Linked DNA regions of Oryctolagus cuniculus. The protein of the gene in region 1 interacts with the protein of each later gene in a pairwise test. Links are inferred from orthologs where the notes say so. Each region holds a gene or a part of one and is shown on either strand. Other genes may lie near its edges.

What was found.
Region 2: the proteins of MAGED1 (region 1) and CA8 interact in binary tests that used the Homo sapiens proteins (3 or more experiments, as listed by UniProt). The two-hybrid records come from large-scale screens. The link is inferred for Oryctolagus cuniculus from reciprocal best matches to the Homo sapiens genes MAGED1 and CA8.
Region 3: the proteins of MAGED1 (region 1) and PRKAB2 interact in binary tests that used the Homo sapiens proteins (3 or more experiments, as listed by UniProt). The link is inferred for Oryctolagus cuniculus from reciprocal best matches to the Homo sapiens genes MAGED1 and PRKAB2.
Region 4: the proteins of MAGED1 (region 1) and SMAP2 interact in binary tests that used the Homo sapiens proteins (3 or more experiments, as listed by UniProt). The two-hybrid records come from large-scale screens. The link is inferred for Oryctolagus cuniculus from reciprocal best matches to the Homo sapiens genes MAGED1 and SMAP2.

Annotation. Positions count from the first base shown.
Region 1 is NC_091453.1:36,322,282-36,328,149, forward strand, and holds part of MAGED1 (melanoma-associated antigen D1), read left to right. Parts: intron 1-1,964; exon of another isoform or gene 1,965-2,148; intron 2,149-2,344; exon of another isoform or gene 2,345-2,578; intron 2,579-3,145; coding exon 3,146-3,219; intron 3,220-3,900; coding exon 3,901-4,623; intron 4,624-5,280; coding exon 5,281-5,868. UniProt on the Homo sapiens protein: Involved in the apoptotic response after nerve growth factor (NGF) binding in neuronal cells. Inhibits cell cycle progression, and facilitates NGFR-mediated apoptosis. May act as a regulator of the function of DLX family members.
Region 2 is NC_091437.1:85,551,085-85,556,952, forward strand, and holds part of CA8 (carbonic anhydrase-related protein), read right to left. Parts: intron 2,875-5,868; coding exon 2,740-2,874; 3' UTR 2,705-2,739; intron 1-2,704. UniProt on the Homo sapiens protein: Does not have a carbonic anhydrase catalytic activity.
Region 3 is NC_091438.1:50,122,026-50,127,893, reverse strand, and holds part of PRKAB2 (5'-AMP-activated protein kinase subunit beta-2), read right to left. Parts: intron 5,752-5,868; coding exon 5,585-5,751; intron 4,775-5,584; coding exon 4,681-4,774; intron 4,450-4,680; coding exon 4,329-4,449; intron 1,117-4,328; coding exon 983-1,116; intron 340-982; coding exon 271-339; intron 1-270. UniProt on the Homo sapiens protein: Non-catalytic subunit of AMP-activated protein kinase (AMPK), an energy sensor protein kinase that plays a key role in regulating cellular energy metabolism.
Region 4 is NC_091438.1:132,488,036-132,493,903, reverse strand, and holds part of SMAP2 (stromal membrane-associated protein 2), read left to right. Parts: intron 1-2,802; coding exon 2,803-2,936; intron 2,937-4,159; coding exon 4,160-4,245; intron 4,246-5,223; coding exon 5,224-5,302; intron 5,303-5,868.

The sequences.
Region 1 (5,868 bases):
GCTCAAAGTATTTGTGGCATATGTGTAATTCCATTGATGTAAAATCCCATGCATACATATGCACAAAGTGATATATGAAAAGATGGCATCAAAATCTTAGCAATTATCAAGGTGCTGAGGTTTAGAGTGATGTCAATTTCTGAAACATTTAGGTGTTTGAATTTTTAGTTATGAATATGCATTATTTACATAATGAGGGAAACTGAGTGACTGTATCACAGGGGAAAATGCATCTCAGGCTTCTTGCTTGAGCAGTGGGGTGGGTGATGTGGTTCACTCATTCATTAAACAAATAGTTTTGAGCATATAAAGTGTGCTAGGCATCATTCTTGGTGCTGAGGATACAATGAAGCAAAGAAAAATCCATCTCCCCAAGAAGTTTCCATTCTAAAGGGGAAAAAGGGAATAACTAAAGGAGGTGGTGGGGAGGAGAACATATTTGAAGGGATCAGTTAAACTGGAGGATACTAAGAGATACCCAATTGGAGAATGAAAGCAGACAGTTGGATTATGGATCTAGAATTCAAGGGCCAGTCAGGACTGGAGATGGAGCTATGGAAGCAGATAGCAACAACATGGTGTTTCAGACCGCCTTTCCTGAGTCTGATCACGTCCCACTGCAGACACTTTACAGAGGAAGTGCTGAGGAAAAACAGGCAGCTGACAGGGGAGGTTGCTATGCAACAGATGAGGAAAGTCATCCAGCCAAGCAGAACTGATGTTGGCCCTTGGGGACCAAGTGCTGCAGTCCTTCCTGGTATTAGCTTCCTTTCATATGCAGGCTCCTGGCAGGACCTCATATAAGAAGGAATGCGAAATGCACAAAGATCTGCTTTGAGTTTTTGGAAAAGTATCAGTTTAGTTTGAGCCTCCTCACATCTGTATATGATTTTCTGACTTTTTTTTTTTTAGTTTCTCCAATTCTGGAAGCAGTGGAGCATGTGTGCCCTTGGGTAGGACACACATACTATGCTTTCTGTTCTGCATATTGAGAAAACAAGCTCAGAGAGATCGAGTGTCTTGAGTGAGCTCACGCTAGTGACACACAGGCTGGGCACTCTGTTCTTGGGATTTTGAAATCAGTCCAGCCTCTTTCCTCAATACCACAGTTGCTCCAGATCCCAAACCTCAGCCAAGGAAGGAAGTAGGGCAAACATTGACTCTGAACCAGAGTTTGCCATGGTTCAGACACACAAGTGCCTGGTTGTCTTGGCCATTTAAACAGGCACCAAGAAAATCTTGGGGACAACATCATTGTGTCACTCAGAGGAAAGAGTCCTGTGTGACATTGGGAGCTGAGAGTGGGCCCCGAGGAACAATTCCTTGGGCTGGGGGCTTTATCCTGTGCCCTCCTGAATGCAGAACATGAGCTTAGGCCTCCTAGAAAACAAAGTTTGCTTTTTTGGGACAGATGTTAGGGTTAGGGGAGGCCAGGGGCTGAAGTGGAGGAATGAAAAGTGCATAATTTGGGCTTTGGAGTTATGAAAGCCCAGGCCCAAAGTTTGCATTTTCTGTTTTCTGGTGCCTCTCTGGCCTTCTCTAGTTTGAGCAATGTATCTGCACCTCAACTTCTTGGTCTTTGAAATGGGGGTGCTGACACGCACCTTCTAGGGCTGCTCTAAGAAGAAAATAAGCCTCAGCATAGATCTTGCTGTGATGTAAGTGGGTTCTGCAATAAAGTTCATGGGAATGCAAAGTATGGGAAACCTGCATGTATTTCAAAAAATACGTTGGCACCAAAATAAGCTTATCTTTCAATTTTGTTTGTTACGAACTTTTTGGAAGTCGCCTTGTACAAGCTGTGTCCTTCTCTCCCACAATGCACACAACATGATTACATTGACTGGAGCTTCAGAAAAGGGCTGCAGGCAAGGAGCTAATCTGAGTCTGGAAGCCAGTGAGGGGTGCATGTGGTCACGTGGCAGGCACAGACTCCAATAGTGTGTATTTTCTGGCCATTTCCTTCCCTGGGTTGCAAAGCAGATGAGTTCAGCAGGGGCCTAGCACTTGTTGCAATTAGAGATTCTCCACAGACACTTCCTTAATAGTGACCTAAACTGTGCTGGGAAGGGGGTGGAACTGCAGGCCGACCTGATGGGAGGTGCCTTGAATAGAGGAGGGATTGAACAGAGACGCATTGCGGAAAAGGTAGGGGGCCGGTGTACGGGGCAAGGGGTGGGACCAAGAGGCATGGCGCTTCTGTTGGGGGAGGGGATGTGGAGGAAGAGGAGGAACCGTTGTATACTGTCGACCTGGTTGGTGGTGGGATGGTGTGTTGGCAAAGGGGGCGGGGCCGCGTTCCAATGCGCATGTGTGTCCTGCTCTCCCGGACGAAGCTTTTGTTGGGAAAGTGGGCGGGTTTGTAGTTGGTCGCCCAGTCGTGGCGCATGCGCGTAACCTCCTGAGGTAGTGGGTGGTATATTAGGCGAAGAGGCGGGGTCGCCCAAGCTGCCGCGCTGGCATTTTCTCCTAGACAAGGAGAGAGTGCGGCTGCTGAGAGCCAAGCGCAGCAATCCTGATCCTCTCAGTCGTGAAGAAGGGAGGCAACGAGGGGGTTGGGGTTGGGGCCTGAGGCAAGGTGAGAGCTAGCTCCCAGAGAGGGCGTCTGTCCCCCGGTGCGGGTCTCTCCCCCATTTATCCCCATCCCTTAACCCCGTGTTTCTGAATCCCCCCTTCCACTGCCGGAACCCCGATTTACACCCCCCACCCGATCCTTTCTGATTCAGAGCCGCTGTGTGCTCTCTGAACCCTTGACCAATTCCTCTCAGAGGTCCTCACAGAGTCCTTAACGATTTCTTGACTGACCCGTACTGTTCGGAGATTCTTCCTGACTGAAAAATCTCCATTCAACTTCCCGAACGCGAATCCCACCACGCCCCACCCTCGGGTTCAGAACTCTGATCTGTCTCCCGAGCCCTGATTTGAAGCTTTTGCCCTGTTAGTTGCTTCTCGGAATTCAGAATCTCCATCTGGACGCCCGTTCACGTGTCCCGCTCCGCTCTGGTCCGTTCCTCCTCAGACCCAGCACCTCAGCCACTTCACAACCAAACGGCACACCCCTGCCCCCTCCCCTTCCGCTCCGATCTGGCTCTTCGTATTTTGCCCTGTGTAGTATAACGCCCAGCTCCTTTCCCTCAACCCCCAGGCTCTGCTCTTGCCAGAGGGACAGGAGCCATGGCTCAGAAAATGGACTGTGGTGCAGGCCTCCTCGGCTTCCAGGTGAGATCTCCGCTCCTCACCCCAGCATTTCCCCTCCGACACTCCCCTCCCCCCCAGCCCCTTTCATCAGCCCAACACCTGGATCTGATTTGGCCCTCTTCCGTGCCTAGACTTTGCCATTTTTCAAATTTGCGGCATTTATCTAAGGGGAAAGAAGCATCCCTTTTCAGCCATCAGTCCCTGCTTAGAGAAAGGGGAGACCCTGTTAGTAGTCGGGGCAATCTGCCCAGAGAATGCGGGCTGGGTAAAGGAACCATTTTCTTTTCCATAGGCCTGGAGTGCAGAGCAGTCTGTCACCCCCTCCCCCAGCCTCCCACCTCCACCCTCCCTCTGTCCCGCATTCCTGACTTGCTGCGACCCCCCCCCCTTACTCTCCTCAACTCCTTGCTCCGCCTCCTAAACTGAGCTCCTGCTGCACTCCCTACCAGCTCCGCTCCAACCCCACTGATTCAGACCTTGCTTGCTTTTGTGCCCACTCCTCACATTGCTCTAATTGTCATTTTGCCCCTGCCCTGCACCAGTCCACCACATGTTTTGTACTCACGCTGCCTCCCTTTGCCCACTGCCTGCTCCCTGGGTTCCTGCCATAGCCCTGTTTTTGCAACAACCATCCTCCTGCACCTTCCCAGCTGTTCCCAACCTGAGCCCCAGAGATTAAATTTGTTTTTCCTGTGTTTGCAGACGGAGGCCTCTGTAGAAGACAGCACTTTGCTTATGCAGACCTTGATGGAGGCGATCCAGATCTCAGAGGCTCCACCTACCAACCAGGCCACAGCAGCTGCCAGCGGGCCAAATGCTAGTCCCCAGAGTTCACAGCCCCCTACTGCCAATGAGATCGCTGATATTCAGGTCTCAGCAGCTGCTGCTAGGCCTAAGACAGCCTTTAAAGTGCAGAGTGCCACCCCAAAGGGCCCAAGTGGTGTCTATGATTTCTCTCAGACACATAATGCCAAGGAGATGCCCAGTGCTCAGCCTAAGGCAGCCTTTAAGTCCCAGAATGGCACCCCAAAGGGCCCAAATGCTGCTTATGACTTTTCCCAGGCAGCGGCCACTGGGGAGTTAGCTGCTAACAAGTCTGAGATGGCCTTTAAGGCCCAGAATGCCACTACTAAGGTAGGCCCAAATGCTACTTACAATTTCTCTCAGTCTTTCAATGTCAATGAGATGGCCAATAACCGACCTAAGACAGCCTTCAAGGCTTGGAATGATACTACTAAGGTCCCAACAGCTGACAGCCAGACCCAGAATGTAAACCAGGCCAAAATGGCCAATTCCCAGGCAGACATAGAGACCAACCCAGGTATCACTGAATCTGATGGTGCAGCTGCACAGACATCAGCAGATGGACCCCAGGCTCAGAATCTGGAGTCCCGGACTATAATACGGGGCAAGAGGACCCGCAAGGTGAGATCCCCACTAGCGTCACTTTGCTTTGGGCTCTCTCCTTTCTTCTCTGAAATTGTTCACTTGTTCTAAAATATATATATATATATTTATCAATAGATATAGATCTGCCTTGTTTAGCTAAGCTGTAGATAATGTTGAAGTGAATTTTTTTTCTGTCCTCTGAGTGTCCATAGACTGATGGGGAGTTAACATATGGAAGCAAATATCAAACTTGTATGTAATTCAGTTTACATTTGGATAGTAACCACCATGTATCAAATCTTGAGCTAGTTCACACAAGTTATCTTATTAAATTTTGAAGTCAGCTCTTACCAGTTGGGGACCATAGTCTTAGTTTTACAAAGAAGGAAACTCAGTCCCAGAGAAGTGAAGTGACTTGAGTGATTTGTTCAGGGTGGTACAAGCAGAGCGAGTGGTGGACATAGGAAGAGAAGAAGCCTCAGGCCCCACCCCTGGGTTGCTCCTGGCCTGGTTCGGAGATGCAACTCCTGCTTGGAAGACAGTGAAAGACAAGCCCAGGACTCAGGGTGACCAGTGGCTAGTGGGTCAGGCTGTCGTTACAGGTGAGGGTTTAGGGGGATTTCCTGAAATAGATAGGGTGAGGACACAGAATCAATTTGTGACCCTGGACTTTCCTTCTCTCTGATAATGCAGATTAATAACTTGAATGTGGAAGAAAACAGCAGTGGCGATCAGAGACGGGCCCCGCTGTCTGCAGGGACCTGGAGGTCTGCACCGGTTCCAGTAACCACTCAGAACCCACCTGGCGCACCACCCAATGTGCTCTGGCAGACCCCACTGGCTTGGCAGAACCCATCAGGCTGGCAAAACCAGACAACCAGGCAGACCGCACCAGCACGTCAGAGCCCCCCAGCTAGGCAGACCCCACCAGCCTGGCAGAGTCCAGTTGCTTGGCAGAACCCGGTGATCTGGCCAAACCCAGTGATCTGGCAGAATCCTGTGATCTGGCCGAACCCCATTGTCTGGCCTGGCCCAGTTGTCTGGCCAAACCCACTGGCCTGGCAGAATCCACCTGGATGGCAGACCCCACCTGGATGGCAGACCTCACCGGGATGGCAGGGCCCTCCAGACTGGCAAGGCCCTCCTGACTGGCCACTGCCTCCCGATTGGCCACTTCCCACCGATTGGCCTCTCCCACCTGACTGGCCACTTCCACCTGACTGGATCCCTGCTGATTGGCCAATTCCTCCTGACTGGCAGAACCTGAGACCCTCGCCTAAC
Region 2 (5,868 bases), on another chromosome or scaffold:
ATCAAAGGAGGATATACTTTTCTCTGAAGGGAGGAGAGAACTTCCACTTTGTCTATGGCCTTGTCTAAATACTGACAGAGTTTGTGGTCACAAAAAGCTTCCACAGCCTTGGCAGCGCATGTCAAGAGTCTCGGGTGATCACTGAGGTCATAAAAAAGAGTGTTAATTGTTAACAACAGAAGTCACTGTGCACTTACTCCCCATGTGCCACCTCACCCCTTAATGAGTTGTACTATGAGAATTAACTACAAAACTTGTTCTCAAACAGTACTTTTTACCTTGTGTGTGTGTATGTGAGTGAACTGTTGAAATCTTTACTTGATATAGAGTTGGTCTTCTGTATATAAAGTTAACTAAAAATGAATCTTAGAGAAGAATGGGTTGGGAGAGGGAGTAGGAGGTGGGATGTGAGTAGGGGAGGAAGGATGGGTATGGGGAATAAAACCACTATATTCCTAAAGTACCTATGAAAATTATATTCATTAAATAAAAGCTTTAAAAAAGAGTGAAGAAGGTGAAAGAGGAGTGGTTAAAGAATAGCAGAAGGAAAGTGAGAGGATGAGAAATAAAAAGATGATATAATAATGAAAAAAACATAAAATAAACATGACAACTATTAAGAAGCTTGGAATATGATAGCAAAAAGTAAAAAGCAGTTAGGTGAAATAAAGAAAGTGTAATGAAAGGTACAGTTTAAGGGAGAAGCAGAGACCCATGGAGCGAGCTATATTTGAGCTATATTATAGCTAGGATTTCAACAGCCAAAGGAAGGCCAAGAAGTACTGAGAAAGGAGAGAAGATAAAATTCACAGAAGATGAAAGGGAGTTTGGCTGGAGTACAGGGTCCCTATAAGGATGCTTTAAAATAGTTCATGGAAAATAGAATTAAAAGGTAAATTTATCTTGGTGCAAAAAATTTTTCAAATCCATGCACAATTTTTTCATAAAACACATTTCTTATGAAAATTTTGAAGAGCCTTCATATAACATGGTAACACACCATGTGAGTGGCACTGTGGACACAGAAGTCACAGAGAAACTGACATCTCTACCTAGGCAAGAAAAAGGATTAGGAAACACATTGGGAAAATGACCAATTGTAATTGTATTTTTTTTTTGACAGAGTTAGACAGTGAGAGAGAGAGACAGAGAGAAAGGTCTTCCTTCCATTGGTTCTCTCCCCAAATGGCCACTACAGCCGGAGCTACATCTATCTGAAGCCAGGAGCCAGGTGCCTCCTCCTGGTCTCCCATGCAGATGCAGGGACCCAAGCACTTGGGCCATCCTCCACTACCCTCCCAGACCACAGCAGAGAGCAGGACTGGAAGAGGAGCAACAGGGACTAGAACCTGGCACCCCTATGGGATTCTGGCACCGCAGGCAGAGGATTAACCAAGTGAGCCAAAGTGCCGGCCTCTGTAATCATATATTTTTGAGTGTATATTTTAAAAATTCCTATATCAGGACAGGTGTTGTGGCACAGCAGGTTAAGCATCTATTTGGGGTACCCACATACCTTATCAAAATGCCAGTTTGAATCCCAGGTGCTCCACTTCCAATCCAGCTGCCTGCCAATACACCTGAGAGGCAGCAGATGATGGTCTAAATACCTGTGTTTCTGCCACCCACACCAGAGACCAGGATGAAGTTCCTGGCTCCTGGCTCCTGGCTTCAGTCTGGCCAATCCTGGCTGTTGTGGGAATTAATCAGTAGACAAAAGATTTATCTTTTCAGTCTCTTCCTCTCTGTCACTCTTTCAAATAACAAATAAAATTGTGTTTTAAAAAAATCCTATGTGACTCATCTAGTTCATCAGATGGTGAGCCCCTTGATGCTAGAGATTTTTATATCTCTAAGACTCCCTAGTCCACAGTGGCACTCACATTACTCCCAGTAGTGCAATAAACAGCCACAGCTCTTTTCTGTTCCCTTAGAAAATCATCCATCATGTTCTTTCCCCTTATGGGAAGCAAAGGTTGGCTCTCAATGTGTTCTCAGAGTCCTTTGCACTATTAGACAATTTACAAAGTAAAGAAATAATTTAATATGTAGTCATTTTATACATTTCATCTTTCCCATGTTTGTGATGTTTTATTTTGTTGGCTCTTTAAGGGTAGCAATATATACATTGAATTCAATACATTAAAATATAGCTTATGTTTCTATCAATAAGAATATCATATTCAGATAGCTAATATGTACTTCTTTATCTAGCAAATAAAAATATTTTTATAGGTCAAGGATTTCGATTTATGCCAGCATCTTCTCTCATCTACCCCAATAAACAAGATAATCAAATCCATGTATGACAAGAGATTCAACAGGCCCCTTCTTCACATGTGCTCCTGGCTGGTGGGAACTGACAGTTGTAGCCTTAACAAGGCAACGGCATAAATTACCAGAGACTCTGACCTAGCACCATTTCTCTGTCTCAGAAAGTCTTTCTTTATGAAAGCAAATATTAAAGGAAAACTTGGACTTAAAGGCTGCTCTGGTGGGAAAACAGTAGAATACTAGATTATTTTAACACTACAGGAAATTAAAATAATCATCTGACTTACACTCAGTGAGGCTTTGTAATGTCTTATCAAAATGAAGTGTAATTGTTGCATTGGTAAGTTAGCAAGGTGACCACAAGAGTGACTCCCGCATGCTCAGTGTGGCAAACTGTGTGCCATGTTTTCTTTACTTGGCCTGTACATACCCTGATGAAGATGGACTTTTTCCTCTTCTCTCTGGCTACTGAAATGCAGCTCTAATGACTCTGTCGCTAAGTGGCTGAGTGGGTCGAAAATTGTCTCCCAAAATCCCATCACAGCCTTCCACAAGTTCTGCACCTTTAACATGAGTCCGCAGCCTTCGAAATTCTTCTATCTGAAAATGAGAACAAAACAAAATAGATTACCTACATACCAGACATTAACAAGACTTATGGTTTCATATGTGGCTTCACCTGCAAGGCCAGCATCCCACATGGGTGCCAGTGGTGTCCCAGATGCTCCACTTCTAATCCAGCTCCCTGTTAATAGCCTGGGAAAAGCAGAGGAAGAGGGCCAAGTCTTGGAGCCCTTGTTACCCATGTGGGAGACCTGCAAAAAGCTCCTGGCTCCTGGCTTGCATCCATCTGGAGAGTGAATCAGAGGATGGAATCTCTCTCTCTCTCTCTCTCTCTCTCTCTCTCTCTCTCCCTCCCTCCCTCCCTCCCTCCCTCCCTTTCTATGGCTCTTTCAAATAAATAAATAAATCTTTAAAATAAATAAATGCCTAAAATCCAACTAGAAAAAGAGAAATGCAAATTGAAATTCAAAGAAAGAAAACCAGACTTAGTTTTTATAGACCTAAGACATTAGACAAGATCCTTTGAAGAGAAGTCAGCAGAGAGGAGATATCAAGTTCTCCAGACTACTCAAACAGTCACAAAAACATGCTGTATTTGTTAATGTGAAAATGATACACAACTCTTTCAAAATACTTTTGTGCCTGTGTACAGCACAATGAGAAAGAGTAAATAAGTGAATAAATATTCTTAAATGCTTCCCATTTCTATGTTAAATTTGCAGATTCTGATGGTACTGGATGTTAACTTTGATTAGATGTGAGACTTATTAGGTGAATGTATTAGCTTTTCGTTATTATTACAATGAGATACATGAGAACATCTACTAGTGAAGAAAAGAAAAGCTACTTAGCTCATAGTCTGGCAGATCTAAGACTGAGACAAGATGGCCTCACTGATGTGGCCTCTGAAGAAGACAGCAGATGGCGATGACAGAGCACATGTGAAGGAGCACACAGTGAGCCAGGAAGCAGAGGAAAAGACTGAGCCCTTCTCAGGCTTTATAACCACTCCTTTCTCCAGAATGACCAATCCAGGGCAAGCCCCAGCAAACTAAAGACCCTTTGGGCCGGCGCCGCAGCTCACTAGGCTAATCCTCCGCCTTGCGGCGCCGGCACACCGGGTTCTAGTCCCGGTCGGGGCGCCGGATTCTGTCCCGGTTGCCCCTCTTCCAGGCCAGCTCTCTGCTGTGGCCCAGGAAGGCAGTGGAGGATGGCCCAAGTGCTTGGGCCCTGCACCCCATGGGAGACCAGGAGAAGTACCTGGCTCCTGGCTTTGGATCAGTGCGGTGCGCCGGCCGCGGCGGCCATTGGAGGGTGAACCAACGACTAAGGAAGACCTTTCTCTCTGTCTCTCTTTCTCTCTCACTGTCCACTCTGCCTGTCAAAAAAAAAAAAAAAAAAAAAAAAAAAAAAAAAAAAAAAAAAAAAACAAACCTTTGGCAGGCCCCCACATCCTAAACACCATAACCAGACAAATATCCACCCTCTTAGTACCACTATCTTACAACTTTGGGGGTTGAACACCTTCAGGAGTTCTGAAACCAAATCATATTCAAACTATACCAATGAATTAGCAGATTCCTTCATCAACAGATTGTCTTTGCTGTTCATCTAACTCTTTGGAGAACACTGGTTCAAATACCTTTGATTTTCCAAAAATTTAAGCCAGTTTCATCTCTTAGCAATAGCAATGTTCATCTCCCTTTCTCAAGTTGTTTCTCCAGGTCTCACAGCTTCACCATTTCATGTGACAAAGTTCCCAGAGTCCCAAGTGACCTGCCTCATCAAGAGCTCCTGCCAGAGTTACTCTGAGAGGTTTTTAAACACCAAGAAAACATGATGAACATTACCCAGGCACATTCTCATCTATTAGCTGATTTACCTTCAGGGCTGATTGTTACTTCATTAAAATACCACATAGTAACAGGACACGGCCATTCCTTACACAGAAGCGGAAACTGAGGCTAGAAAGGTTAAGAAAGTTGCCATGTTAGTCAGTGGCAGAAGCCTACAGTTACAAATCCACCTGCTGTTTTCCCAGCTCTACAGTCACCACTTTAGAAATTTCCACTCAAAACACTGTAACCTATATTCTGCAATTATCCTAGTGCATTGAGCCAATGTGATCTGGATAGCATCAATCCTCCAAATTTCATCATCTCTGTATCAAAGGACTGTATCTACAAAGGTTCTTAAGACAACACGGCCATAAGAGTCTGCTGTTCATAAAAAGAAATGAAATGCAACAGATTAACTAATGCAAGGATTCTGATAAAAGTCTAGAAACAACAAGAGACTTTAAGAGGCCCATGAAACCCCTGAATGATAGGCAAATTTTACATATGTATTTTTCCCGAGGAGAGACTCCAGATTGCAAAAATTGAATCTCACAAGTTTCTAACTCAATCCGCTCCATTCATCTTGGGACAGAGCTGGGAAAAAACTAAATGGCTTGTTAGATTCAAACTCAAGTTAGAAAACAGACTTCTAATGTTTTACTTTCCATGTCCCCAAATATTGTTTAATGTCCTTAAATGACTTAAGTGTGACCCAAGTGATATTGCCTTATTTTTTCAAATAATACATACATGGTGTATTTATATAGCAGTGTCACTCCAATAAGTAATTAGGTGTTTAATATTCATGAGGGTCTTTCACTAGACCTCCTTAGGGTCTTAGAGTACAAAAATGAAAAGCATCTACTGCTTGCTGCATCGGGAAAATTCCCAGAGCTGAGGATGCATGAAAATTCCCTATAAATCATTTGCTTTCACCTTAAAGACTTCCCTAAATGTTAAGTGAAAGGAAGAATATGATGGTGAATGCAGTCAGTGAATCCTAAACCCAAATGACAAAGGAAAGTCATCTATATAAGTCTTGGTTCCTACTTGTGTACAACAGAGATGATAAAAACAAATTCACAAGAATGATACAAGAAGTAAATAAGAAAACTCAGAAAAATCACTCAGCATTGTCCCAAGCACATAGGAAGGAAATGTTTGACAAATGCTAGTCCTTTATTGCAAACTT
Region 3 (5,868 bases), on another chromosome or scaffold:
CCATTTCTGATCCAGCTCTCTGCTAGGGCCTGGGATAGTACTAGAAGATCGCCCAAGGCCTTGGGTCTCTGCTCCTGCATGGGAGGCCCGGAAGAAGCTCCTGGCTCCTAGCTTTGGATTGGCCCAGCTCCAGCCATTTCGGTCATTTAGGGAGTGAACCAGCAGAAGGAAGACCTCTCTCCCTGTCTCAACTTCTCTCTGTAACTCTAACTCTCAAATAAAATCTTTGGAAAAAAAAAAAAAAAAAAAAGAGCCAGGGCCACTACTTACCTTAATGGACAATGCATAGAGGTGGTTCAGCATAACGTGGTTGGGCTCAGGGAGCAAAGCTGGGTCACACTAAGACAGAAAAACATCACTACGTGGAGTTAAATGCAGACAACCCAAACACCTCACTCGTCCTCTGTTCCTCTGATTCTTCTATCCCTGTATTCTTCCCTGGAACCGCTGAGAACTCTAAGCTAGAACACACTATCTCCTTTAAATAATAACACACCCCAGAACGTATCAGTAATACATTGCCATTAAGGAAAATTCCCAGTCCCAGGTAGAAATTTTAGACCTCAACATCTACTAATCTTCCTTAATAGAGCTAAAACAAAAATCTTGTTCACAACACATATGGCAAATTTATGTTGACATGCAAAAATAACCTTAGTGGAAACCAGGTACACTGAATAATGATGTAAAGTATATGCAAAAAATTGATAAGTACTTTTTATCTTGTGTTGGAACAGAAGTCCTGAAATTCTAGCAACACATAACTCTCTAGTCCTGATTTTGCTAGGACCAGCAAACAATGATTCACTTTTATACCAGGACATGAAAAAGTCAGAATTGAGCCTACAACACTATTGAGATACACATGATTTATAACCTCAATACCCCTTTGTAACAATCCTAACTTCTAGGGTTAATAACTTTTGACCCAAATGGTCCTAGAGACCCCCACATGCTCCAGCAATGCTCTCTGGATACTCACAGAAATATTAGTGTCCTTGTTAAGAATAACTTGGAGAAGGTGAGGAGGAAGTATGGGTGGCGATTTGAATCTCTCTTCAGATCGAAACACATACATTTCTTGACCATAAGGCCCTGGGGGTGAGCTGGAAAGGTCTGAAACATATTTATATAAATATGAGAGGAGGACAGAGGATTTGTAACAATGCATGGGAAAAAAAGCCATCAATGCATGGTAGCTAATATTAAAAATTCAGTAACAGTCACGGATCATGAGTTTGTGACCTGTTGAGTCTGCAACTGTAAGGCAGCCAAAGGGAAAGCCTGAGTCATCCTGGACACAGAACATGAGGAGAACATGAGGTTCCTCTAGGCGACAACAGGGCACAGGGAGCAGAAGACGACGAGTCAATGAGCTAGGCTCGGGGAAGAGCTGCTCCACTTATTAGCTGTGTGACTTTCGACAAACCCCTTCACTATGGCTGGTTTCCACAGCCATCACAATTTTTAAAATCTTTGCCTTATTTCACAATGCTTTTCCTGAAATCAAATGAGATAATGGACATGAAAAAGTTTTGTAAATTTCCAAGCAGTATGAAATGATCAGACTTCTCTTGCCCACCCAAGCAAACGAAAACAAGGTTATAAACTCTTTAAAGACTACCTGATGCTACAATGATCTCAGTAATAAAGATCAAACATATGAAGCAGTCATTAGGAAATGCAAATCAAAAACACACGATACTTTGAATATTCACAAGGATGGTTATGATAAAAAAAATAAGTGTTGGCAAAGATGTGGAGAAACTGGAAGCTTCACGCTATTCCCACTGCCAGCTGCTCAGAAAGCTGAATATAAAGTTACTACATGACCCAGTTCTGCACAGAAAAGTGAAAACATGTTTACACAAAAAATCTGTACATGAATGTTCGTAACAGCATCATCTATAAAAGCTAAAAAGCAAAAAAATAATCCAAATGTCTATCAACTAATGAATGGACACCAAAATGTGATGACCATGGAATGGAATTTGATTCAACTTTAATAGCAGTAAAGTATGGACACATGTTCCAACATGGATAAACCCCAAAAATATCATGCTAAGTGAAAAGTGTCAGACAGGGAAGACCACATTCTGGGACGAGCATTTTGGCACAGTGAGCTAAGTTGGTTGCAACAATATCAGAGCATTAGTTCGATCCCAGTTGCTCCACTTCTGATCCAGCTCTCTGCTACTGTGCCTGGGAAGGCATGGAAGATAGCCTAAGTGCTTGGGCCTCTGCCACCCACATGGGAGACTCAGATGGAGTTCTAGGCTCCTGGCTTCCGCCAGGCCCAACTCCAACTGTGTGGCCATTTGGGAAGTAAAGCAGCAGATGGAAGCTCTCTCTATCACTGTTTCAAATAAATAAAGCTTTTTTTTTGGAAAAAAAAAAAAAAAGACTGCATATTGTATGAATCCATTTGTATGAAATATCCAAAACAGATAAACGCATAAAGACAGAAAGTATATTTGTGGTTACTAGTAGTGGAGGGGAGGTGGGAACAGGAAATGACTGCTAATGGGTGTGAGGTTTCTTTTATGGAGTGATAAAAATACTCTGGAATTAGACAGCAGTGATGGTAGCAAAACTGCAACAATATAAAAATATTACTGAATTGTACATTTCAAAAGGGAGTACTTCAAAAAGTTTGTGGAATTACAAGTTTATTTTAGTGCCAAAAAATTTAAAAACCATGCATCTGAGTAGTCTTCAAGAAGTTCACGGATGGGACATTGTTAGGCACGGCAGTTAGGACACTGCTTGGGATGCCACATTGCGTATCAGAGTGCCTGGCTTTGCGTCCCAGTTCCAGCCCCTGATGCCACCTTCCTGCTATGCACACCCTGGAAGACAACGGCGAAGGCTGAAGTAGTTGGGTCCCTGTCACTAAGGCAGGACACCCGGAGTGAGTTCACGGCTCCTGGCTTTGGCCCGGCCAGTCCTGGCTGTTGCAGGCAGTTGGAGAGTGAACTAAATGGGAAAGCTCTTGTCTGTCTGGCTCTCTCTGCCCCACAAATAAATAAAACAAGTAAATGGAATTTTTAAGAGTTCATGGAAAATCATATTATGAAAAAACTATATATGGATTTCAAATTTTTTGCATCAAAATAAACATCTCTTCATTTCATTTTTATCACAAACTTTGGGACATACTCTAGCATATCTCAAATGGAAAAGAAAAGCACACAAGAGTTGAAGGAAATATACAGAAATGAAAATATCTATATTTCTTATTTTAAAAATTTATGATCTCATAGTCCCCAGTGAAAAATATTTTAATGACAAGTTAATTACAAGTACTCAGGTAGGAGTTAAATACATATGAAGCTAAGGCAAAAAAAATGGTAATAACACTATGATATTAAGCAATATCTTAAAAACATATAGAATTTGAAATTTTCTAAAATACTTTCAGTTATTTTGTCACATGATCCACAAAACATCATTGGGCAGTACCTAGAACAGTTTTTATTTCTTTTTCATCAGAAAAATAAAATACAAATTGGTTAAGTGATTTACCCAAAGTCACAACACAAACTATATGGTAAATGAGTACAGATGAAATCTTTACCTGCAGATTCCTAAAAAAATACATTCGAAGTCTTACCTCAGTGGACCAGATACTGGGTGAAAGAGGGAAGAGAGAACCAGCAATAGTATGGTAGTCCTCTCTCTCTGTAATTATATATCTATTTTTCATTGGTTGCTTTGCCAAGATCATATAAGGTAAAATGTAGTCACAAGTAGCCTCATAATCTAACTCAATATTTTTAAACCCTTTTAAATCATTGCCCCAACTTTTTGAGCTTTTTTGATAACAACAATAGTTCCAAATTCTCTTCTACAGATAATGATTGTACTACTGACTATTCCTTTAGATATTATGATCTGAGATCCTAATATGCACTTCAGGTGTGGTGACTGCTGAGCATCAGTGGCAGTCTATGCACCTGCCTCTTACTGTTAAGGAACTGAGAACCAAAAAGGTCCAGGGACTTGTCTGAGATGGTAAAACTAGTTAATACCAGAGGCAGGCTTTGAACTCACGAGAGGGAAGTGTGCTCCCTGGGAATACAGTGCACAGTTGTTTGGACAGTCATAGCCTTTACCGCAGAGAAACAAAACCGTAACTGCGAATATAGTTAGCAAAACGCTCTTTTGGGGGCTATGTATACCTATAGATACAGGATACAAACACACACACACGGTTCAGAAGATTCCTGAGGAGAAGTGGAAAAACAGAACAAAATACAAAACTGCTATGGGAAAGAACATGAATTACAAGACAATATAGCCAGAAAGAGCTTACACTACAAAATTACCTCGACAAGACGTCTCAGAGCTTTCCATGGAATCTAGCTTTAAGGCATCAAACACTTCAAAATCCGACTTCTTGACATGGATCAAATTGTTAATCGTGCCAAGCTGACTGGTAACCACGGGCTGAAACAGTGAATAGAACGAATCACTCAATCCCCTTTTCAAATCTCTCTTCCACCCAATCTTTCCTTTCTCTTTTTCTAAAAGAGTTGCCAGTGAACATACTCGGACCCCCATCTTTTATGGAGAGAGATCCTGCAGTGCAGGGGAGCTGTGGCCTGTCCATCCTGACAGTGACGACAGCTAAAATGAGAATGCTGCACCCACGGCCACCCCTGGAGATCCAGGCCTTACCTCGGATGGGTCGTGAACCCACTGTCCGTCCACAAAGAACTTGTATTGGTGCTCTCCCTCAGGGAGGTCCAGGATGGCAACAAAGTCATTATGGCTGCCAAAGGAAACAGAACGTCAGGCCAATTCCTTTTGGAAGGCAGAATGTAAAAGCAAGTGGCATTCACAGTATCAGGGCCACAGCCTCCCTTATTTCTAAGCCACTGTATTGTCTGGCATAAAAAGTAATTTATAAACTCATTCTCTCTTTCTATGTCACCTTGGACATGTATTTGCCAACCCCTGCCAATAACTTAAGTTCTTAACCAATATCTGCAAAAGAATACTAAAGACACCGTTCTCCCAAAATGATTCATCCCAGTACAACTACATCGTGTCAGCATAATGGATTCCTCACGTGTGAAGAAGGTAACGGCTGGTTCAGGATACAGAAGGGACTCAGGGTGTGCTTTCCATGTTTTGGTCAGCCTTTTCCAGAAAATGACTATTATATTAAGGGCGATTTTGACAGGTAAATAGTTCATTATTGCTTTGCAATTAACACATGCTTATACTATCTAGAACTTTACAGTGTGTTTTGCTTTAGTGCAATAGACAGAGCAACAGGACAGAGCCGGTTACAGAAGGCTTCCCACAAGCACAGGAAGGGCTTGTGTAACTCGGCCCTAAAGAAGGAACCCACATAGCTGGTCTGAGATGGTGATGTTCTAAGTGGGAAAGTCTCTCTCACGCACTGTGAGGTTGAAGCAAAACGCCATGTGCAGAGCAAATGCTCACAGCCAAGGGCATGCTTCAGAGACAGGCCCCAGGAGCTGGAGAAGAGCAGGCCAGCCCACCTCTCTTGGAAGAAAGGAAATCAGGTCTCTACCCCGGACCCCGAAGGCGCAGCCAAGACACGTGCGTTCACCTCTTTATCAGTGGAATCTTGGCGCTCCAATTGTTGAAGGACCCAGAGATGAAGACCTCCTTGCCTCCCTCCGACCAGCGGATCACGGTGGGCCGGGCCTGCTGCGCCGGCTTCACGGAGTCCTCCAAGTCCTGCTGCCATGAGACAAACTCTTTGTCCCCAGGGAGCTGCAACAAGCACCACAGGTCACCTCTGGGATAAACTGAGACCCAAGGACTCTTAAAAGGTCACTCTCCTCCCTAATGTACAGATGGGGGCTAGGTTCGCCTAAGGATATGAGCCCG
Region 4 (5,868 bases), on another chromosome or scaffold:
GAGGAAACTGAGGCTCAGGAAGTTGAATTGTTCCACATAGGTAGTCACTAACTCTTTTCTGGCTGCAAATGTTGTACTTTTAATAACTATAACATTTCTCCGCATTTTCAGCTATAGAAGGAACTTTTTGTCTCTTGTCTTTTTCTTTTCTTCAATTTCAGAATTGATAGGCACATATAGTCATTGACTGATAAGTCCAGTGGCTCAGAACTCTTAAGAGAATGAGCCTCTGGGATAGAGCGGTCACTGTTTCCTGGGGAGAACGTTGTGTGTTGTAGGAGGGGTGGCAGGTGGGGGCGGTGGTGGCAGGCGGGGACCAGAGGAGGCTCTCCCCTGGCTTTTCAGGAACATATGGTTACCCCTGTTTCTGGGCTGGGCCTCATCAGTGGCTTCAGGGCATCAAGTCTTACTCTTGCTTCCTCAAAGCAAGACCTGGGGACCACAGTTCTCACTGTGTTTGAATGATTGAGAACTGCCGTCCTCACGGGAAGAAGGGCCAGGAAGCAAACAGGGTAACCTTTCAAGGTGACGTAAAATAATAATTATATATATATATACTTTCCATTATTTGAAAAGCAGAGAGAGAGATCTTCCGCCTGCTGATTCATTCCCCAAATAACCTGCAGCAGTAACCATGCTGAAGCCAGGAGACTGAAACCCAAGCTGGGTTTCCCACGTGGGTGGCAGAGACCCAAGTACTTGAGCCATCAGGGAATTAGAAGCAGAGCTAATACCTGAACCCAGGTGCCTGCTGGCATCCCAAGCAGGGGCCAAACACTTGCCTCCACAGCTTTTTTTTTTTTTTTAAAGATTTGTTTATTTATCTATTTGAAAGGCAGAGTTACAGAAGGGCAGAGGCAGAGAGAGAGGTCTTCCATCTGCTGGTTCACTCCCCAAATAGCTGCAATGGCTAGAGCTGGCTGATCTGAAGCCAGGAGCCAGGAGCTTATTCTAGGTCTCCCATGTGGGTGCAGGGGCCCAAGCAGTTGGGCCATCTTCTGCTGCTTTCCCAGGCCACAGCAGAGAGCTGGATTGGAAGTAGAGCATCTCGGTCTTGAACTAGCACTGCAGGTGGTGGCTTTACTTGCTAGAGCACAGCGCCAGGCCCGATGCCTCCACAGCTTTTAATGAGATTTTGGTTTCTGATTTTGTTAGCAAGCAAATACATTTGAAGTATCTTATCATGAGTTCTAAACTCCACAACCCTTGGGCAAAGGAAAGATGCTAAAGAAACATGAAAATCTTACCTTTGGTCGTATTTTTAATCTTGTTGCTCAGATCTTATCGGAGTTCCTTTATGAACACTGTATACTCCACCACATGAAACAACTTCGTGAATCATTTGTGTGTTTATTAGCTGTATGGCAGACCAGTGATGCAAATCCAACTAAGCATTTGAAGGGACTGCAGATCTTTTCAGAAGATAAATCTGAGCCTTTCAAGATAATAGTAATAAGAAGGCATTGGGATAAAATTTCAGGCAGAGAATACCACCTAATGGTGATAAGGAGGAGGTGAGCCCTCTGTATCTAGTAACTGCCATTGTAAATGAATGATATCATCAGAAAATTGTGTTATTTATAATAGTTGTGAATTCAAGTTTCTAAGAATATATATTTTTTTGCCACATGATTCTAGCATTCTTCCATTAAAACGTCTCCAAAACCTGTGGGCTAACGAAATAATTGCCTGTGTCCCTCAGAACTGAAGTCTTGTGCCTGTTGCTTCAAACGTGGGTCTGGTTTATCTCTGTAGAAAATCAGTTAGTGTCTTCTCACTGCTTTACTGCAACCTCTAATTCTGATGTGGAATGATAGAGAAGGAAGTATTTCTGATATTTCAGTCTTTGGAAGGTGTCATGTAAAAGCAAGTCAGTTTTCCTAGTTAACAATTATGAAGAGGAGTTTGATAGTTTTCTAGCATGCTTATGAGAGTGAGAAAAGTTGGCAGAGATGGGAAAGAGTTAAAACCTCTCTGAGATGTCTCTTTGCTGCAATAAGCATCTTTATTTATTATTGTTATTTTGGGGAGGGCAGTTGAGTCTAGATAATTCTGTAGTTGAGTAAAGTAGGGACATCAGCCCGAGCGGATCCTATTAAGTCAATGTGGATGCATATTTTATAAGCCTGGAGGGGAAGCGAGGATAAACAACGTTTTTAATTTCAGGTTGAGTCCTGGGCTCGCATCCACATCTGTATCTTTTTTCCTAGTAGGAACACTGAATCTAGGCCTCACCACCATTGCAAAGTTTCATGGAGGAGGACTCTCCATGTAAGGTGCTAGGCTAAATAGGATATGATGTAACTTTGGGAGTTTTCTTTATATGTGACAAAATATTCTAACATCTGCATTTCAGCACTCAACAGTAGCTGTAAAAAACTGCTCTAAGCACACTTACCCACATATTGTATAATTCCACTTGAATTAAATGTCCAGAATTGGCAAATCCATTGGAAAGTAGATTTGTGGTTAACCGGGTTGAAAGGAAGGGATTGGGAGGAAATGGAAAGTGCCTGCTAATGGGTTTGGGATTTCTTTTGGGGTGATTAAAATCTTCTGGAATTAGATAGTGGTGATCCTTGTACAACTATATGAGTATGTACTATACTCTCAAAAAAATTAAAACTGAAAAAACCCTTGGTCCATGGAGGAATGAACAAAGTCAATAAAAAAGTGACTGTGGTCAAAATTCTTTCACTTGCATTCCAGTAGAAATGTTGAATCATAATCTAACGATCACAGCTTGGCCCTAAATGTTGTTGTAATTTATATATTTTATCGCCCTGTTCCTGACCTTCGCAGGGCCACGATGGGCCTCCTGGAACATTGGTGTCTTCATCTGCATTCGCTGTGCTGGAATCCACAGGAACCTGGGGGTGCACATATCCAGGGTAAAATCAGTAAACCTCGACCAGTGGACTCAAGAACAGATTCAGGTACTTACGCAGTCCGAGAGTCAGCCACTCCCCTATATCCACGTAAAAAGTTCTGGAGGAATTTCAGTTCCTGGGCACAAAAGGGAAGATAAAAGAGAATTTAGTTGTTAAACACTTACATGAAATTCTTGCATCTTTAAGAGACATTTTATATCTTTCTGTTTAAGACACAAGATATTCTATCCGTATTTTACCTGCTTCAAAACACAAATCAACTGTGGTCTAGGACCCCATGTACCCATGGCGATATTAGGAGGAATCTTTGGTCTATTTTCTAATACCCTCGGCATTTACAGATCTAACATTTGTAGTTTTAGGTACTTACTTAAAAATAATCTCCAAATCATAGACTTAGGGTAATACAGCTAAAATGCATGCATGAATATTGCTTGCTGTCAGCAAGGTGAGCTGGGAGTGGGACATTTCTGTTCCTGAGTCTGCCTGGCCTAAGCCTCGGTGCAGCTTCGCTATTCTTTATTCTCTTGTTACACTGAACAATACTGAAATACCTTCATTTAAAAAAGTGTGTTTTTCTTTGTTGGGAGGAGGAAGGGAAGTCCCAGAGAAAACCAGTTGCTAAAGTTGGTGATAGAAATAAGAGGTTATTCTTAATCAGAAAATGGCTTTAGAAATTGTTTGAGACTCTCAAGATTCATTAAAGGTCTAAAAGGCAGAAGTACATTTCACAGTTGTAGTTTATCCTACAAAGGAAATGACATGCCATGGACGTTTTGGGAATATGAAGATCTAAAAAGCTCTTGGGGTTTATTTCTCACAAGTGTTAAGGGGGCTATTTCAAAAACTTAATGGGAAACATAACGTTTATTGGTAATAAAATGGAATAGGTTAATTAGTAGTGAAAACTTAGAGTTGTAACACTGATTATTGCCTCCCAGGGAGACATTTTGGTTGGTAGCTATATATGTTGGACATCCAAATAAGATCTTGAATTGTTACTGACTTAAATTCTATCTTGGCAGACAAATCTTTGAATAAAAGTAACCCGTGGACAGGGAGAAAAGATAGTTACTGGGGCAAATGAATGTGAGTTCCTGGTAGGGTAGAGAGAATCATAGACTGGAAATAAGAATGCACAAATTAAAATCTTGGTTCTTCCACTCTCTGGGTTGGTTCTTCGGTGTACATGGGTGGAGCTGGGTGAGACGTTTTCCAGTTCTTTGCTGCTCTGACATTCCATGTTTCTACGTTCTCTTTGATCGCAGTGCATGCAAGAGATGGGGAATGGAAAGGCAAACCGCCTTTATGAAGCCTACCTTCCTGAGACATTTCGGCGACCACAGATAGACCCGTATCTTTTCTGGAGCAACCTAAAAGGCAGAGTGGTATTTTGGTGTTTGGAGTCAGACCAGATTCAAGTCTGTGATCTGACTGGGCTGTCTCTGTGTTGAGTAGTCCGAGTTCTTGCTTTTCCTCTCTCCTGCAACCATGACATATAAAAAGCACATGTATACTTGCTAACCTCAGAATTACCGTGTAGTCTCATGGCGGGAGGACTCACTCGGGCATCAGGATGCCACGATTTCACTGTGAACCCTTCCATAATGCAACATCTCCATTAGTGTTTGGATCTCTGAAACTATTGTTGGATAAAAAAGAATAGTTTACTGGTGCTCTGTTCAACTCTTGCAGTCAGCAAAACTGCCATTCGTTTTATTGCCTTTGTGTGGCCTGTGTAAAACAATTCACTATTGGTAACCAGTTTATCAGTAACTTTCTCTTTCTCTGCACCTGATAGACAAAACCAAAACCCCTAAAGGTTTTGTGCATTTCAAGATGTAACTTGTAGACCATCTTGTTAAGAGTTTTGCTTTTCGGTGGGTTCAGGTGGAACCTGTTAAATACAGAGTTGAATCCCTGCAGAAGACCCCATGATCAGAATCTGGCAGTGGGCTCAAGAGTTTATCTTTTTAAGGGGCATTCAAATGCCTTTGTTTGAGATCTTTTGACCTAAAGAGTTTTAAAATAGATCACTGCCTGTGTTCCCTGTGTTCTGGAAGTCGTACACACCTCTGATGTCCATAAAGGTGAATCCCACTCGTTGCTGCTGGCACCCTAGATGGAAATCCTAGGAAGTCATTCTCCGCAGTAACCTTGAAGGAGGCAGCTTGAGGTTTTGGTCAGGGAAACTGCAAATGGAGAGACAGCAGCCAAGGGGGGAACCAGGCAGGAAGGAAGAAGAACAAAGCTCCGTGGAATACAAATTGGCTTTTTGTATTCTTACTGTTGGAGAGGCTTGTTTGATTCATCCTTAATAAGCTTCTGGCAGAGCTGTCGAGGGATTTATCCGAGATAAATACGAGAAGAAGAAATACATGGACCGGAGTCTGGATATCAATGCCTTTAGGGTTGGTTGCAAACCTTTCAAGGGTTGTTCAGAATAACTACTTTGTTTATTACTTACATCATGGAAAAGTTTGAAAAACTGCTACCAAAAATACTCCAAACTAATCTTTAAAAGGCCAAAGTAGGAAAAAGCAGTTGTTGTATTGAGGCCAGGAGAGTATGGGCTTTTAGCCCAGTGGTTAAGATGCTAGTTAGGATACCCATGCTCCACATCTGAGTGTTGGAGTTCAGCACTTGGCTCCAGCCATGACACCAGCTTCTTGCTAGTGCAGACGCCGGGAGGTAGCAGTGATGGCTCAAGTGATTGGGTTCCAGCTACCCATGTGGGAGAATTAGATTGAGTTCCTGGTTCCTGGCTTTGGCCCAGCGCAGGCCATTGTGGGCATTTGGGCAGTGAACCAGCAAACGGAAGCTCCCTCTTTATCTGACTCTGTCTGCCTTTCAAATACATACATACATACATACATGCATGTATTTTTAAAAAAAAGACCATCAGATATCATGGAAGAGACTTTTGCCTCAGGGATGGGCAGGGCAAGCCACCAGTGAATTCTTTGGCTTGGTCTGA